Stegostoma tigrinum: one gene and its partner. The protein of the gene in region 1 purifies or fractionates together with the protein of each later gene. This does not show direct contact. Links are inferred from orthologs where the notes say so. Each region holds a gene or a part of one and is shown on either strand. Other genes may lie near its edges.

Region 1 (7,752 bases):
TCTCATACAGTGCAAGTTCACTCCTCGTTGCCTTTGTGACATTCCTCCAGCATTCTCATCAATTCATTGCAATGACAGTCACCAGTGCTGGCCATTCCACACAAGTAGTGCGTATCATTTACCCTCCAGTCAGGAGTCCTGATTAACTAGACCGTCCAAATTCCCACAACACTTTTCCCTTGATCTAGCTCTGCAATGTCATTCTTAAATAGACAATTTTGGATTCAACCATTAACCCTCCAAACGTACGCCATTGCCTTGCAGTTCAATCATCATAGAATCATCATCATAGAAAACCTACAGTGTGGAAACAGGATCTTCAGCTCAACCAGTCTACAATGACCCATGGAGCATCCCCCCAAACCTATCCCCCTATAACCCACCTAATCTACAGGTCCCTGAACACTGTGGGCAATTTAGCACGGCCAATCCACCTAGCCTGCACATCTTTGGACTGTGGGAGGAAACCGGAGCACCCGGAGGAAACCCACGCAGACACAGGGAGAATGTGCAAACTCCACACAGACAGTCACCCGAGGCTGGAATCGAACCCGGGTCCCTGGCGCTGTGAGGCTGCAGTGCTAACCACTGTGCCACCATGTCGCCCCAAAATCCTCTGATACCTACATCATAAAAAATAAGAACAGGAGTAGACCATTCAGCCCCTCAAGCCTGCCCTGCCATTCCATATGATCATAGCTGATCCAACATTCCCCACATCTATTTTCTTACCTTTTTCCCGTAACCCTCAATTCCCTGCTGATCAAGAATTCTCTCAAAAATCTGCCTCCTCAGCTCTCTGGAGCAGGTAGTTCCACAGACACGCAACCCTCGGCAAAGAAATTTTTATCTCAGTCTTAAATTAACACCCTTTTATTCTGAGGATGGTGTCTCTGGTCCTAGACTCTCCCATGAGGGGAAACCACCTCTCACATTTGTGCTAGGTAGTTAGGTAAGCCCACATTGTAGATCTTGAAATAGAGAGGCTCCTGAAAATAGAGAATAGCTTCAGCAGTTCAAACAGAAGAAAAATACTGCAGATGTAGGGTGTCACAAGTCAAAATAGAAAGTGCTGGAAATACTCACCAGGTCAGACAGCTTCTGTAGAGAAAGCAGGAGAGTTATTTTTCTGAGTCAGTGAGTATTCATAGTATTCTGAGTTCACTGGTGTGTGGAATGTAAACATGAAGGGAGATGGATAAGAATTGTTTATTACATATTGTGGGAGTGTTGAAAATTATTAAAAAGACAAGGCAGATTCAAAAGCAGATGACTCACAGTAAGCGAGAGTAATGACAAGCCTCCAAATGAGTCTGTGTTCACATTTTAAATATTACAGCCTCCAAAGCAGCCCAAGGAATAAATCATAGGAGATGAAAGCTGGTCAGCTCCTTTTGTTCTTCTATTCTACAGATCCTACATTAAACCATTAACTTATTTATAAGCCTGTCTTCCCAAGGACAAACCATCATGGAGTTGGATTTTCATTCCCTCTGTGTGTCATGTATAGTCACTGCTAGCCTTCTCTCCAAACTCATCAGCTCACACTTGCCGAGACCAATTTGCATTGGACAGAGTTTACGTATCAAGTGCAACCCTTCTGGCTCAATATTGTAACTGTTAAATATTCTGCAGTGATGAGAGGTGAGCCCAGACTAAGCTCTGTGGAACGCTATTGACTCCCAATCACTTGAAACAACCATCTCATTTCCTATCCTCCATATCCATCCACACCCCTCCATCCATCAATTAATGTTCAGTTGCAGATGTTGTAACCTTTTCATTATCATCGAGGGGTAGAATTGTGCAAACTCTATATCTACAACATCTCAAATATCTCCACAAGAATTCTCAAGCACAATCATCCTGTTGAATTCACTTGTGGGCCTGGGATAGCGAGCTAGATTTTTTTTCCCATTGGTTCAGCCTATTTTGACTTCCACTACCCTCTTGTGCCAGCTCCCAGTGGCAACTGTGGATAATTCGGAAGGCAAGTGGAATGTTAGCATTTATTTCAAAGGGATTAGCTTAGTATTAGCAGTATTAGGCTGTTGCCCCTTGTGAGAGAGCCTAGGACCAGGCAGCACAATCTTGGAGTAAGGGGTCACCCATTGAAGACAGAGATAAAGAAGAATTTCTTCTCTCGAAGGACAGTGATTCTGTGGCATTCTTGACCACAGAATGGTGTCAAAGCTGGGTCATTAAGTATGTTCAAGGATTTTAACCAGCAAGGGAATCAAAGATCACAGTGAAAAGGCAGGAAAGTGGAGTTGAGGATGATCAGATCAGCCATTGAGTGGAGGAGCAGACTCTGCAGATTGGCACACACTGTCTCAGCTCCAGGCTGGCCTGGAAATAAAGTAACTAAGAGCCAGAGCCAATGAAACCCTGTCTCAGCAAAAGAACATTGGCTGCTTGGTTCAGAACCTCTTGAGCGCAGCACGGGCCCAGGACTAGGTCTGGGGAACCCCCACCTCACAAACACACGCTCAAAGAGAGTCCGAGTGGCAGCACAAGTAAACAAAGAGTTAAAGGGCTTGCTTTCACCCGGTTTAGATTCTGGCTGAGGCCTGTCAGGGACTGGGATGTGTTTCAGAATTAGATCACCGACTCTCACGGAAGTGTTTGCCACGATCCGGCAGAAGTGGCTGCGCAGCCCTGCCTCCGAGGCCGGGAAGTTCCTGTATTCCCAGCCTCCACACACTCGCTCCCCGTTTACCATTGGGAATGCCACCTTCAATGTAGCAACCAGGTAGCGAAGCTTGCAACACTGTGGCGAATTTCCCAACATTGTAGCGAAATCAATACCACTGGAGGGAAACTCACGTCCAGGTGGTTAAATTCACAACATTGTGGCGAATTTCCCAACACTGGAGGGAAGTGGACAAAACTTCAGTGAAATTCTGAAAAAAATGCGAAGCTCCCACACTGTTCGCTATGCTGGTTGCAATAAGGAAGTGAATTAAAAGTCAGGCAAATTTCAACTTCCCTCTCCGAGGAATTGGTTTCACGCGGCTTCAAACTTTCTTGTTACCTTGATGTGTCTCTGAGTGAAAGCTTCAGACATGTCTGGCAAGGTCCGCAGATTCACTTCTCCCTGTCTCTCCACCCCCTCTATCCCTGCCTCTGTTCCCGGGAAAGGGAAGCAGCCTTAGACTCCTTACGGGAGGAGGCTCCGAGAAGGATCGATCAGTCCCGAGCCGGGGGAAGTGCTGGTCCGAGCGACTGCCGGCTGCCGAGCTCCCCCGCCTGTGAATCACATCCCGGACCGAGACTCCTTCTTCCGGGAAGGGAAAGCGAAACGTTCCTTGATCTCATGGTTGGTCACAAATCTCCAGCCGACCTTTGACGTGAGTTCCCAGCAGCAACAAGCCGGGGAAAGAGGACTGCAGTCTCTTAAAGGGGAACTGCAACCCGGAAACAGAGCCGCAGCATTGAGGGAGCAGGGAGACAGTACTGCTTTAAAACAGGCCACAGACAGCCAGAGGAAGGTGGGTCCTCAGCATTCATAGGCCTCACACACAGGAAGGCCTCCTGTTCACTCCAGATATGGCTGTCACACTCACAAAGGGACAGAAGCATTTCGCCTGGTTTTTGCCGATTGCGCTGGGCACTCGGGCTTCTTATAAAGCAGTTCACAAACTCGGAAATAACATGAAACAGCGACAGAGTCTGTATGAAGTAACTTGCAGTAACTCCATCCCGCAGTCACCCCAGCCCCCGCGTTAGGGCGATTCCTGATTCCCCCCCGGCGCCGTACTCCCTGTAATTACCCTGAACTCCCTGCTGGTACTCTAGTTAATTACCCTGAACCCCCTCCTGGTACTCCAGTTAATAACCTTAAACCCTGCGGTACTCCATGTAATTACCCTGGTACTCCCGTAAATTATCGTGCTCACTGAATGATGTGGCTTCTGCTCCATAACTTTCCCACTGAATCGCATATGGAGTTAATATTATGAACGGCAACTGGGCAATGTGACGGATTTGCTGGATACCCACTTTTCAGATGAGGCTGCCTGGAAAATGGTAATACACCTGGCATTCAAGCAACCTCACTGTAGTCTGGGATTTGCATGGGAATAATGTTCAGGATAACAATCCTCACCATGAAATAAGGTAACAATTTCTATCAACCAACACACACACACGGAAACCAGGAGCTGACTACCCAGTTTGCCTTCCTGTTCACAAGTTCTGCTTCATTGGTGTCTTCACCATAAGATGTATGAGCATTAAACCCGTTGAGTCTGCTGCACCATTCAACGAGATCATGGCTGATCGGATAACCCTCAACTCCTATCCCCACAAGAAATAGTAAGAACTGCCAATGTTGGGGTCAGAGATAACATAGTGTGGAGCTGGAGGAACATAGCAGGCCGGGCAGCATCAGAAAAGCAGGAAAGCTGACGTTTCGGGTCAGGACCCTTTTTCAGAAATGCAACATATACTCCTATTGTTTAAGAATGGAATGAGAGAAAGCATAAATTTAGTGAACCCTTACCTAATGTCTGTTTCAGGGAAGTTGAACGGACCTCTAATTAAAAGCAGAGTGATTTAGCACTTAGGAGAAATCTGAGCTATGATAATGTGAATTTTTAATGGGTAGGTCACAGCTAATGAATGTAATTGAATTATTTGAGGAAGTGGCTACAGTAATAGAGAATAAAGCACAGTAATAATCTTTGGATGAAGTTTAAGTGGGCTTCCATAAGACGTTTAGTTAGATTTCAAATGTGTGCCTGCTGGCTAAAATTAAACCTCATAAAATTGAAGTGAAATAAAAGGGCCTTTATTGGTCAATGCATTGAGTACAAGACATTGGTTAGGCCACTTTTGGAATATTGCGTTCATTTCTAGTCTCCTTGCTACAGAAAGGATGTTTTGAAACTTGAAAGGGTTCAGAAAAGATGTACGGGGATGTAGCCAGGGTTTGAGCTACAGGAAGAGGCTGAATAGGCTGGGGCGATTTCCTCTGTAGCATCGGTGGATGGTGGGTGACTTTATAGAGGCTTATAAGATCATGAGGGGCATGGGTAGGGTGAATAATCAAACTGTTTTCCCTCGGGTAGGGCAGTCCAAAACCAGAGGGTGTAAATTCAAGGTGAGAGGGGAAAGATTTAAAAGGAGCAATGTTTTCACAAAGAGAGTGGTGCATATATGGAATGAACTGCCAAAGGAAGTGGTCTACTGATACAATTACATTTAAAAGACATCTGGATGGGTACATGAATAGGAAGAGTTCAGAGGGATACAGGTCAATGTTGACAAATGGGACTGGATAATTTTAGGATATCTGGTTGACACGAACAAGTTGGACCAAAGGGTCTGTTTCTGAGCTGTACATCTTTATGATTTTATGGCTCTTGTGGTGCAGTGGCAATGCCCCTATCTATGGCCCAGGAGGACTGGGTTTAAATCCCACCTGCTTCAGTGATGTGTAATGACATTCCTGAGCAGGTTGATCTGGAAGGCAAATTATTGACCTGGTCTAGACCAGAAAGTCCCAGTTAAAGTCCTGCATGGAAATGTATTGATTTTAAAACCAAAATTCATTGGGATTGATCAGATGATAGAACATTGGGAGATTGGGCATGACTGTAAATTCTCCTAGATGTTTACCGTATGGAACGAGACCATTTAGCCCATCATGTCTGTGCCAGTCAATGAAGATCTGACTGCACTAAGCCCATTTTCCAGCTCTTAGCGCATCACCTTGGGGGTGCTGGCAATGCAAGAAATCTCTGAATTTTGATAAAACGACTCGACCACCCTTTCAGCAGTAAATTTCAGATTCCTCCACCCTTTCAGTGACAATTTCCTTTTAACCCTTTACCTCTTCCTTTAATTCTAAGTCACCTGTTTATTGACCCCTCTACGAATGGAAGAAAGTGTCATCCCATTTGTCCCATGTCTGCTCCTCATAATATCTCTCAGATTCTCTCTCAGCCATTGCTGTTCCAAGGAAAACAAGCCCAGCTTTTCCAATAATTCCTCATTGCTCAAATCCTCCAGTACAAGATTCCTTGTGAATCTTCTCTGCACTCTCTCTAGTGCAATCACTTCCTTCCTGTAATGTGATGGCCAGAACCACAAGTAGTACTCAGCAGAGCCTAACCAGCATTTTATACAGTTCCAGCATAACCTCTTTTCTCTTGTATTTAGTGTCGGCTAATAAAAGAACATATCCCATATCATGGGATCCCCACAGTTTGGGAGCAGGCCATTCAGTGCATTAAGTCCACACTGACCCTCCAAAGAGGATGCCACCCAAACTAACCCTGTACCCTGTAACTCTGCATTTCCTCTGGCTAATCCACCTGATCTACATCCCTGGACAATTTAGCATGGCCAATACACCTCACTTGCACGTTTTAGGACTGTGGGAGAAAATCAGAGCACCCAGAGGTAAACCCACGCCTCACTAAATAAATTTTTTCAACAGTATTCACTCTAGAAAATGACAATGTTGTCGAGGTAAATACTGAGATACAGGCTACTAGACTAGGTGGGATTGAGGTTCACAAGGAAGAGGTATTAGAAATCCTACAGAGGGTGAAGATAGATAAATCCCCTGGGCCAGATAGGATTTATCCTAGGATCCTCTGGGAAGCCAGGGAGGAGATTGCCGAGCCTTTGGCATTGATCTTTAACTCGTCATTGTCTACCAGAATCGTGCCAGACGACTGGAGGATAGCAAATGTGGTTCCCCTGTTCAAGAAGCGGAGTAGAGACAACCCTGGTAATTATAGACCAGTGAGCCTTACTTCAGTTGTTGGTAAAGTGTTGGAAAAGGTTATAACAGTTTATTATAAGGGATAGAAAATAATAAATTGATTAGGGATAGTCAGCACGGTTTTGTGAAGGGAAGGCCGTGCCTCACAAACCTTATTAAGTTCTTTGTGAAGGTGACCAAACAGGTAGACGAGAGTAAACCACTTGATGTGGTGTATATGAATTTCAGCAAGGCGTTCGATAAGGTTCCCCATCACAGACTATTGTACAAAATGCGGAGGAATGGAATTGTGGGAGAAAAAGCAGTTTGGATCAGAAATTGGCTTGCTGAAAGAAGACAGAGGGTGGTAGTTGATGGGAAATGTTCATCCTGGAGACCAGTTACTAGTGGTGTACCGCAAGGGTCGGTGTTGGGTCCACTGCTGTTTGTCATTTTTCTAAATGACCTGGATGAGAGCATAGAAGGATGGGTTAGTAAATTTGCAGACGACACTAAGGTCGGTGGAGTTGTGGACAGTGACAAAGGATGCTGTAGGTTGCAGAGAGACATTGATAAGCTGCAGAGCTGGGCTGAGAGGTGGCAAATGGAGTTTAATGCAGACAAGTGTGAGGTGATGCACTTTGGTAGGAGTAACCAGAAGGCAAAGTACAGGGCTAATGGTAAGATTCTTAGCAGTGTAGATGAGCAGAGAGATCTCGGTGTCCATGTACACAGATCCTTGAAAGTTGCCACCCAGGTTGACAGGGCTGTTAAGAAGACATACAGTGTTTTAGCTTGTATTAATAGAGGGATCGAGTTCTGGAACCAAGAGGTTATACTGCAGCTGTACAAAACTCTGGTGCAGCCGCACTTGGAGTATTGCATACAGTTCTGGTCACCGCATTATAAGAAGGATATGGAAGCTTTGGATGTGCAGAGGAGGTTTACTAGGATGTTGCGTGGCATGGAGGGAAGGTCTTACAAGGAAAGGCTGAGGGACTTGAGGCTGTTTTCATTAGAGAGAAGAAGGTTGAGAG
Region 2 (7,978 bases), about 27 Mb from region 1:
TTATGGGGAAATTCAACCTACATATAGTACTGCAGACATGCTCCTAAGCATCCTGTGCCTCAAGCTGTACTGTTTCCAGAACAGGTATAACACTAACATCTACCCAGCCATGTGGAAAATTGACAGGTTTGTCCTATACACAAAGCAGGTCAAATCTGACCTAATCAATAACTGCCCCATCAGTCTATTCTCTGTTCTCAGTAAAGTTCTGGAAGTTGCCACCAACAGTGCTATCAAACACAATTTGCTGAGCAATAACGTGGTCACTTGTGATCAGTTCGGGTTCAGTCAGGGCTACTGAGCTTCTGGTTCAAGCATGGACAAAATAACTCAATTCTGGAGAGGAGGTGAGAGTGACTGCCTGTGGCATCACAGTCACATTTGATTTAGTGTGGCAGCAAGGATCCCTAGCAAAACTGGAGTCAATGGGAATCAAGGAGTAAATGAGTTGGAGTTATACCTGGCACAAAAGAAAATGTTTGTAGTTGTTGGAGGTTAGTCATCTCTGCTTCAGAACATCTCTGCAGGAATTCCTGTGTCTAGTTTCTTTGGCCTAACCATATTAACTGCTTCATCAATGACATTATCTCTATCATAAGTTAACAAGTGGGCACGTTCAGCACCAACACAGACTCCTCAGATACTGAAGTAGTCCATATCCAAATGCAGCAAGATGTGGAAATATCCAGGCTTGGACTAGATTAATTAGATTCCCTACAGTGTGGAAACAGGCCCTTTGGCCCAACAAGTCCACACTGCCCTTTGGAATATCCCACCCAGACCCATCCCCCTATAACCCACACACTACGGGCAATTTAGCGAGGCCGATCCACCTCACCTCACATCTTTGGACTCTGGGAGGAAACCCACACAAACACAGGGAGAATGTGCAAACTCCACACAGACAGTTGCCCGAGGCTGGAATTGAAGCCGGGTCCCTGGCACTATGAGGTTGCAGTGCTAACCACTGAGCCACTGTGCCGCCCCTAACAAATAGCAAGTAACATTTGTACAATTGCAATGTAATGATCATCACTATCGAGGGAAAATCTAGCCATCACTCCTTGACATTCAATGTTATTACCAATGCTGAATTACTCACTATCAACATTCTGGGTCTACCATTGACCAGAAACTGAATGGGATTAACCACATAAATACTGTGGCTACAAGAGCAGACCAGAGGCTAGGCATTCTGCAGTGTGTAAGTCAACTCCTGATTCTCCAAAGCCTGTCCATAATCCACAAGGCACAAGTCAGGAGTTGTGATGGAACTCTCCCAAGTTGCCTGGATGAGTGCAGTTCCAATAAGAAGCCTGACACCATCCACGAAAAAGCAGCTCGCTTAATTGGCAACTCAAATATTCACTCCCTCCACCACCAACGCTCAGCAGTAGAAGTGTGTACCATCTACAAAATGCACTGCAGAAATTTGCCAAAGACCCTTAGACAGGATTCTTCCAAACCCATGATCACTATCATATAGAAAGACAAGGGCAGCAGATACATGGCAAGACCACTACCCGCAGGTTCCCTTCCAAGTCACACACCATTCTGACTTGAAAAAATGTTACTTTCCTTCAATGTTGCTGGATCAAAATCCTGGAACTCCATCCCAACCAGCATTGTGGATGGACTTATGCCAAATGGATTTCAGCAGTTCAAGAAGGCATCTCACCATAAACTTCTCAGTGGATACTGGAGATGAACAATAAATGGTGACCCAGCCAATGAAGTCCACATCCCATGAATAAAAAATGCCTTCTTTCCAACTTTTTCACATTTAAACTGCAATGTGCCTACTCTGAACCCAAGTAGCTATGGACAGCCAGAAGGCCACCACCAGTCAGCTAAAATGTCCCCTGTCACCTCTATGGGCTTATGAGGCTGACTGCAAAATGCTAGTTGGCCACTGATACCAGGCTCCAGAAAGCCCTTAAATTAGCTCACTAGGTTATCTAACTCTTACAGATGAGTAGCCCAGCTCCCTCAACCTCCCTATTGTCACTCCTACCTTCTAAAAAATGGCCAGGATGGGATGGAGGCAGGTAATTGGTATACAGGCCAGTTTGTAGTTCCATGCCCGCCTGCCTTCAGTCCTGCCCTTAACAGTGTTGAAGAGTTTCTCACTGGACAGTTGCTACTAGAACTGCTGAGTATTTCCAGCATTTTCTGTATTCCTTATTACAGTTATGTGAATTTCTCATTGCAACCGAGTTTTGTGGAATTTATTGTCATACAAGTTACTTACTTAAGATTAAGATTATGATGTTGATATTTAACTGACACTAAATACCTAGCATACATTATTTTGGTAAATATTTTCAATGTAGCGCAAAAATGCTGTTAGCAAGTGAAATCCCATTGATGGTTGAAAATGCTTCACGTTTAGTACATTCTTTTCTGAAATGACTGCGATTTCTAATGCTCAATAAAAGCTTTGCGAACCAAGGGGGAAAAGGTGTACAGGGTAGGAAAGAGAGAGGAAAGAAAGAGGAATGAGACAAAACATAGAATGAGGTAAAGAGAAGTAAAGAGAGGTTAGGGGAGGTTGAATAGAAGGAAAATAGTGGTCATGGGAATGTCAAATGAGGTGGGCATGTAAAACATTGAACAGGGAGTACGGGAAAGGAGAAAGTGGAAGTAAGAACAAACATAAGGATTAGTGGGCAGAAGACAAACTTGAAGAGAGAGAGATGAGGTTGAGCAGGCATATTTTTTCAACTTCCTCCTGATAACTTGCAGATAGAGTTGGAATTCCCAGGTTCTCACCTCAATTGGTCTTACAGACATGTTTTTTTTGCTAGTGTGGAAACAGGCCACTCACCTCAACAAATCCACACCAACTATCTAAAGAGCACCCCATCCAGACTCACCACCTCACCCTACCCTATAACCCAGTATTCCCCCATAGCTAATCCACCTAATTTTACACATCCCTGGGCACTATGGGCAATTTAGTATGGCCTTAAACTGCACATGTTCAGACTGTGGAAGGAAATCCACAGACACAGGGAGAACATGCAAACTCCACACAGACTGTCACCCAAGGCTGGTATATGAACCCAGGTTCCTGGTACTCTGAGACAGCAGTACTAACCATTGAGGTACTGCCCCAAATCTGCAGCAATTTAGCTCTTACGTAATTTTCCATGCCTTCCCAAATTCCAGTCTGGTCTATAACATAACCTCCCAGACCCTCAACCTCCAAAACCAAGTCTGAATGTTGCAGACCTTAAAAAGCATCCTTACTTGCTCTGACGCTGAACAATTATCTCTTACTGTTTGTGGTAAATTACTTGGTTACAAAATACTATGACACCTGGTAATATCTAAAATAAAAATGTTTTCTCTGGCTGAGTTCACTAAAAATCGTATTCGCCTTGCCGTCTAAATTCGGTTTCTCTCTCCGCAGATACTGTCAGATCTGCTGACCACGACATGGTCCTCTTCCGTCTGGCTGACCTGAGCAACACTGCGGGGGGAGCTGCTTCATATTCCAAACCACCTAAACTTAATTTATTTTCGCTTCTTTCACAAAAACAAATGCGTATCATTTTGTTTGTTTTTCTTTCTTCACATACTTTTGTTTTAAGTGTTGAGCGGTGCCAACTCAAAAACAGAAATTGCTGCCGAAACTCAGCAGGTCCGGCATGATCTGTGAGGAGGAAGCAATGTTAACAATTGGAGTTCGGTGACTCTTGCTTCTGAGTTTCGCCGGCAATTTCTGTTTTTCTTTGAGATCTCCAGCATCCGCAGTTCTTTGTTTTATTTGAGCACTACATGCATTGATTTTCTGAGGCTGCTGATTTAACACGTAGTCCAGCACGGATGCAGAACCATCTCCAGTTTATGACCAAATGTATTCGTCGTCATGGTCTAGCTCTCTCATAGATAAACTCAGTAAGACATTTAAACTGAGTTTAATCATTTTTAATGCCAGAAACAAAAACGTGTGAAATGTTTTGGAATTGTTCGTTTTCTTTCATTGCTGACGGCAAGTTCTCGTTTTTCTTAAACCTATATGGATGGATAATTCGTGGAAGAGGTTCTTGGAATTCATATCACATTAAAACCTTTTAAAGAAAGGAAAGAAATAACAATTTTATCTAAAACGAATTTTATTTTACGCGTGTATATTTATTTGAGCGTGAAAAATCACTCTTCACAATGTTGTCGCAATTTCTCAACCAGAGCATCTTTGGAAGGATTTTTGACGGCGACATTTCAATGCAAAGATGTGATTTCCCGCTGCCCAGCCCACCCGCTCCTTCGATTTAATTGCAGTAATCTCTCTTTCATTAACGTGGGTAAAGACACCGTCCCCATCTCCCTAACACCGTCTCCTCGTTCCCACACCTCCTACACACACTACCTGAACGCGCAGCCATGTACAAAGGATACTTGATGCTCTAGTATTAAAAAAAAGTAGCGCCGCAGTCCAGGTCAAATGGTTATGTTGTTCTAAGGCAGAGCACCACTCTCTGCTGCAAAAGAAATCCCCGGGAAGGCTCGCTCCAAGCCTCGGTTAAGAAGATGCATGAGAGACTGAGCGGGGGAATATATCTTTTTACACACCCGGGAGGGGGCACATGGGGAGGAACAATGAACTAAAAAGGCTCTTTTCTTTCCCAGCGAGCTTGCCGTAAAGAAAATAGTACGCCGGGAGAGAAACAGGGCAAAGGAAAAGGGAGGGTGTTAGTGGCGGAGGGAGAGGAGGCGTGTGCTTGCGCCGACGGTGAGCGGAGATAGAGAGGCCACGGAACCATGGCTGGCGAGCGAGATACTTTGTAGCGCTGCCCAAAGTCACAGGAATTGTAACTATGTGTTTCAATGTGGCGCCACGTTGAGCTCTCTTTGACTGCCTAGAAGGGGGGGGGGAGGGGAAACATGGGTACCGCGCTGAGGAGTTTGCTGTTGTGCAGCGTTTGCTCTTTGATAAGGGGTGAGTAAAAGTTAAAAGATTGGTTGGCCCTCTCTCTTGGTTTTATTAAAAAAAGGAGGCTGAGTGAGAACGGTCTTGCATGTTACTGTGAGGGGCCCGCGAGGGGGCTGATGGTGTGTGTGTGTGTTTCGTTGGGGGGGGGGGTTGGCTGTCTACGGGGGCAGAAGGGAAAGGTGAAGGGGCTTTCTCTGCCCCGGTTTACATGCATTGCCATTTATATTGGAAGGCGAATGGTTCAACTATAAACTCTAACGTCGTTCAACGCTTTTAGCTGCTGGAATGGTTTTGTGTGTGTGTGTGTGTGATAGAGAGCCGGCCGTGAGGTGGAATGAATGCCGCGATTTCTCTCTCTCTCTCACTCAGGAGTGCTGCCACTTTGTGCGGGGGAAATGCTTGGCAAAACACAGCGCAGGGTGCTCAATGGGGAGGAACGGGTCTGCTGGAACTTTTTCTGCAATGCTTTTAAGCATCTGCTTACCATCTTTTGGTTGTTTATGGAGCACTAAAAGCCGATCGAAGTGTTCCCGAACAAACAGACGGACGGATCCGATCTGTCCATTCGAAATCTTAATTCATTTGTAAGAGCAGTTTAGTTTTGTTTTAGGAAGGGCCTGCTTGTAAGAGCAAATAAAAGAATTTCGGCTGTGCACTCGGGTTGCTTTAAATACGTTTTACAACTTTTCTGGAGACATATTTCTTTACCGTATTCTATTTTATTCATAATAGCTGATCAGAAAGAGCTTTCTTTAAAATCACATTCTCTACAGGGCTACAGATCAGATTTCAAATTTAATTATTTTATTAAACAATAACTGACACCTTTTTTCAGTCCTGCATTCGTTGAACACGTTAGTTCTAGGCAAATGCAACAGGTAGTCCTGTAAAACATACGTGAATTAAGTCATTGTCGACAAAAGCAGGAAAGATATCTTTCGGGGGCTAACAAATCGTTCATGGGTAATTCGAGTGCAGCCTTGTATCTGGTTACACATATACCACAGACAAATTACTTTATTAATAGTGCAATTCCAAATTTCACATGTTCACATTCTGGATTGCAACTTTGAGGAACCCTGACAGGTAGGTACTAGTTAATTTGCAATTAGATTAATATAACTAATCTTGGAAGGTGAAAGAACTTGCGTTATTTTTTAGAAAAAGGTAATTTTTAAATACATGTTGCCTACATGACAGATTAAGTGAAAGAAGCTTTAAATATTTTGTCACGAATAAAGACAGAAATTGTTGGAAAATCTCAGCAGGTCTGGCAGCATCTGTGGAGAGAAATCAATTAACCTTTCAGGTCCAGAGACCCTTCCTCACAGCCTTCTGTTTTTCTTTCTGATTTCCAGCTTCTGCAGGTTTGTTTTTTTTTAAAGAATATTTTGTATATACTTCAAAACAAGTTCAATGCAGTACATATAATCCTAGGAGAAACTGCTAGGTGTTGAATATGAAATAGTGTACAAGTTTATATGCCTGATCGTAATTGCAGGCATATTAATAATAACAGATGTTTAGAATCCAAGTGGTTAATTGGTAAAATTCCCCTCACCTTTACCCATGTGATTTGTTTTGCATGTAAGTTGTCAATGCACAGAATCACCTGATGCTCTCAAAATTGACTCCATATTTTTCATGGCGAGGTGTGGTGGGGGTCATATTTGTGTAAAAATTGAGTTATTTTTCTCATTATTGTGCAGTTCCATTAGTTAGTTGGAACGGGGAGTCTGGTGAAGGACTTGACCTTATTGCCTTTTGTATTGATTCCAAACATTCTGGGATGTCAATTTGAAATGTGCAATACCTTCGACATCTCAAAGAGCTTATTTCCGTGAGGATTACTGTTGAAGTAATTTAGTTTTAGTTGGTATGTCGTCATAAAGGTATTGGGCAGTCTGTGATTACATTGCTGCAATTTAATTCACACCAGGTATCCATGATGTTTATAATTCTGTTTATCCAGAGTAGTAATGTAATCTTAAGTATACAGCCATTCTGGAATTGTAATTTTGTATTTTATAGTCATAATCCTGTAAAGTTGCACTGAAAATACAATATCTTAGGAGCAGGAAAGCTGATGTTTCGGTCTTGACCCGAAACGTCAGCCTTCCTGCTCCTCTGATGCTGCTTGGCCTGCTGTGTTCATCCAGCTCCACACCTTGTTATCTCGGATTCTCCAGCATCTGCAGTTCCTATTATCTCTGAAAATGCCATGTTTGCCACTTTGGAATATGTTAAATCTGAAAATTTATTTGTAGTAATCTCTAATTTGACGCAGGTTTTTTAAAATTAAATTTCACTGTTTCTGCTTTTCAATAACAATTCATTCAAGATTCCCTACAGCACTGAAATATTGAAAGCAACAAGACTGTTTCAATTCAACTGAATTAAATAGAGTTGGGGGGGAATAAGGTGGGGAATTTAAAGCCTAAAGCACTGTTTAGGTTAATTATGCCATAGTTCCAGTTAATGGAACTGATGTATTTCTCATTCCATTATTTTAATCAAATACATCCTTTGTATTCAGATAGTTTCTAACATTTTGGAATATCATATTTAGAACCGTGTAAGTCAGTTTTCGAGCTACTACCTGTGCAAATGTACTGAGACAGTTTGGAAATCTCTGACCAGTCTTTATTTTGGGCAAGAATTTCCAGTTTGCACTTGTGCAGTGGCATGAGCACTCATCTACCAATTGCTGAAGTCATTTTGACAGTTTTACAGTTTTGTAAGATATAACTTGCAGTTTAGAAAGAAGCATGCACAACAAGAATGTAAGTGCTAAGTTTCTTTATTATAGGATGTGTGATTATGAAATTAATCATTTGTTGAAGTAACATTTTTTTGTTTCACCTTTATTTTGCAAATCATATGCTTTCTTTTTACATCAGTAATGCTTAACTGACAATGTCTTTTCTTTTATGAATACAGGTGCACCACTTTTGTTGTTTGCAAATCGGCGAGATTTGAGGTTGGTGGATGCTGCTGGTGGAAAGACTAATGCCACCATTGTTGTTGCTGGTTTAGAAG

The links.
Region 2: the proteins of transcription factor ETV6-like (region 1) and lrp6 purify together in Homo sapiens (affinity purification with mass spectrometry; 3 studies listed by BioGRID and IntAct, counting the BioPlex papers as one, with this or other methods). This does not show direct contact. The link is inferred for Stegostoma tigrinum from reciprocal best matches to the Homo sapiens genes ETV6 and LRP6.

Annotation. Positions count from the first base shown.
Region 1 is NC_081371.1:603,602-611,353, reverse strand, and holds the start of transcription factor ETV6-like, read right to left. Parts: upstream 3,466-7,752; 5' UTR 3,068-3,465; coding exon 3,035-3,067; intron 1-3,034. UniProt on the Homo sapiens protein: Transcriptional repressor; binds to the DNA sequence 5'-CCGGAAGT-3'. Plays a role in hematopoiesis and malignant transformation.
Region 2 is NC_081371.1:27,847,743-27,855,720, forward strand, and holds the start of lrp6 (low-density lipoprotein receptor-related protein 6), read left to right. Parts: upstream 1-4,702; 5' UTR 4,703-4,890; coding exon 4,891-4,945; intron 4,946-7,879; coding exon 7,880-7,978. UniProt on the Homo sapiens protein: Component of the Wnt-Fzd-LRP5-LRP6 complex that triggers beta-catenin signaling through inducing aggregation of receptor-ligand complexes into ribosome-sized signalosomes.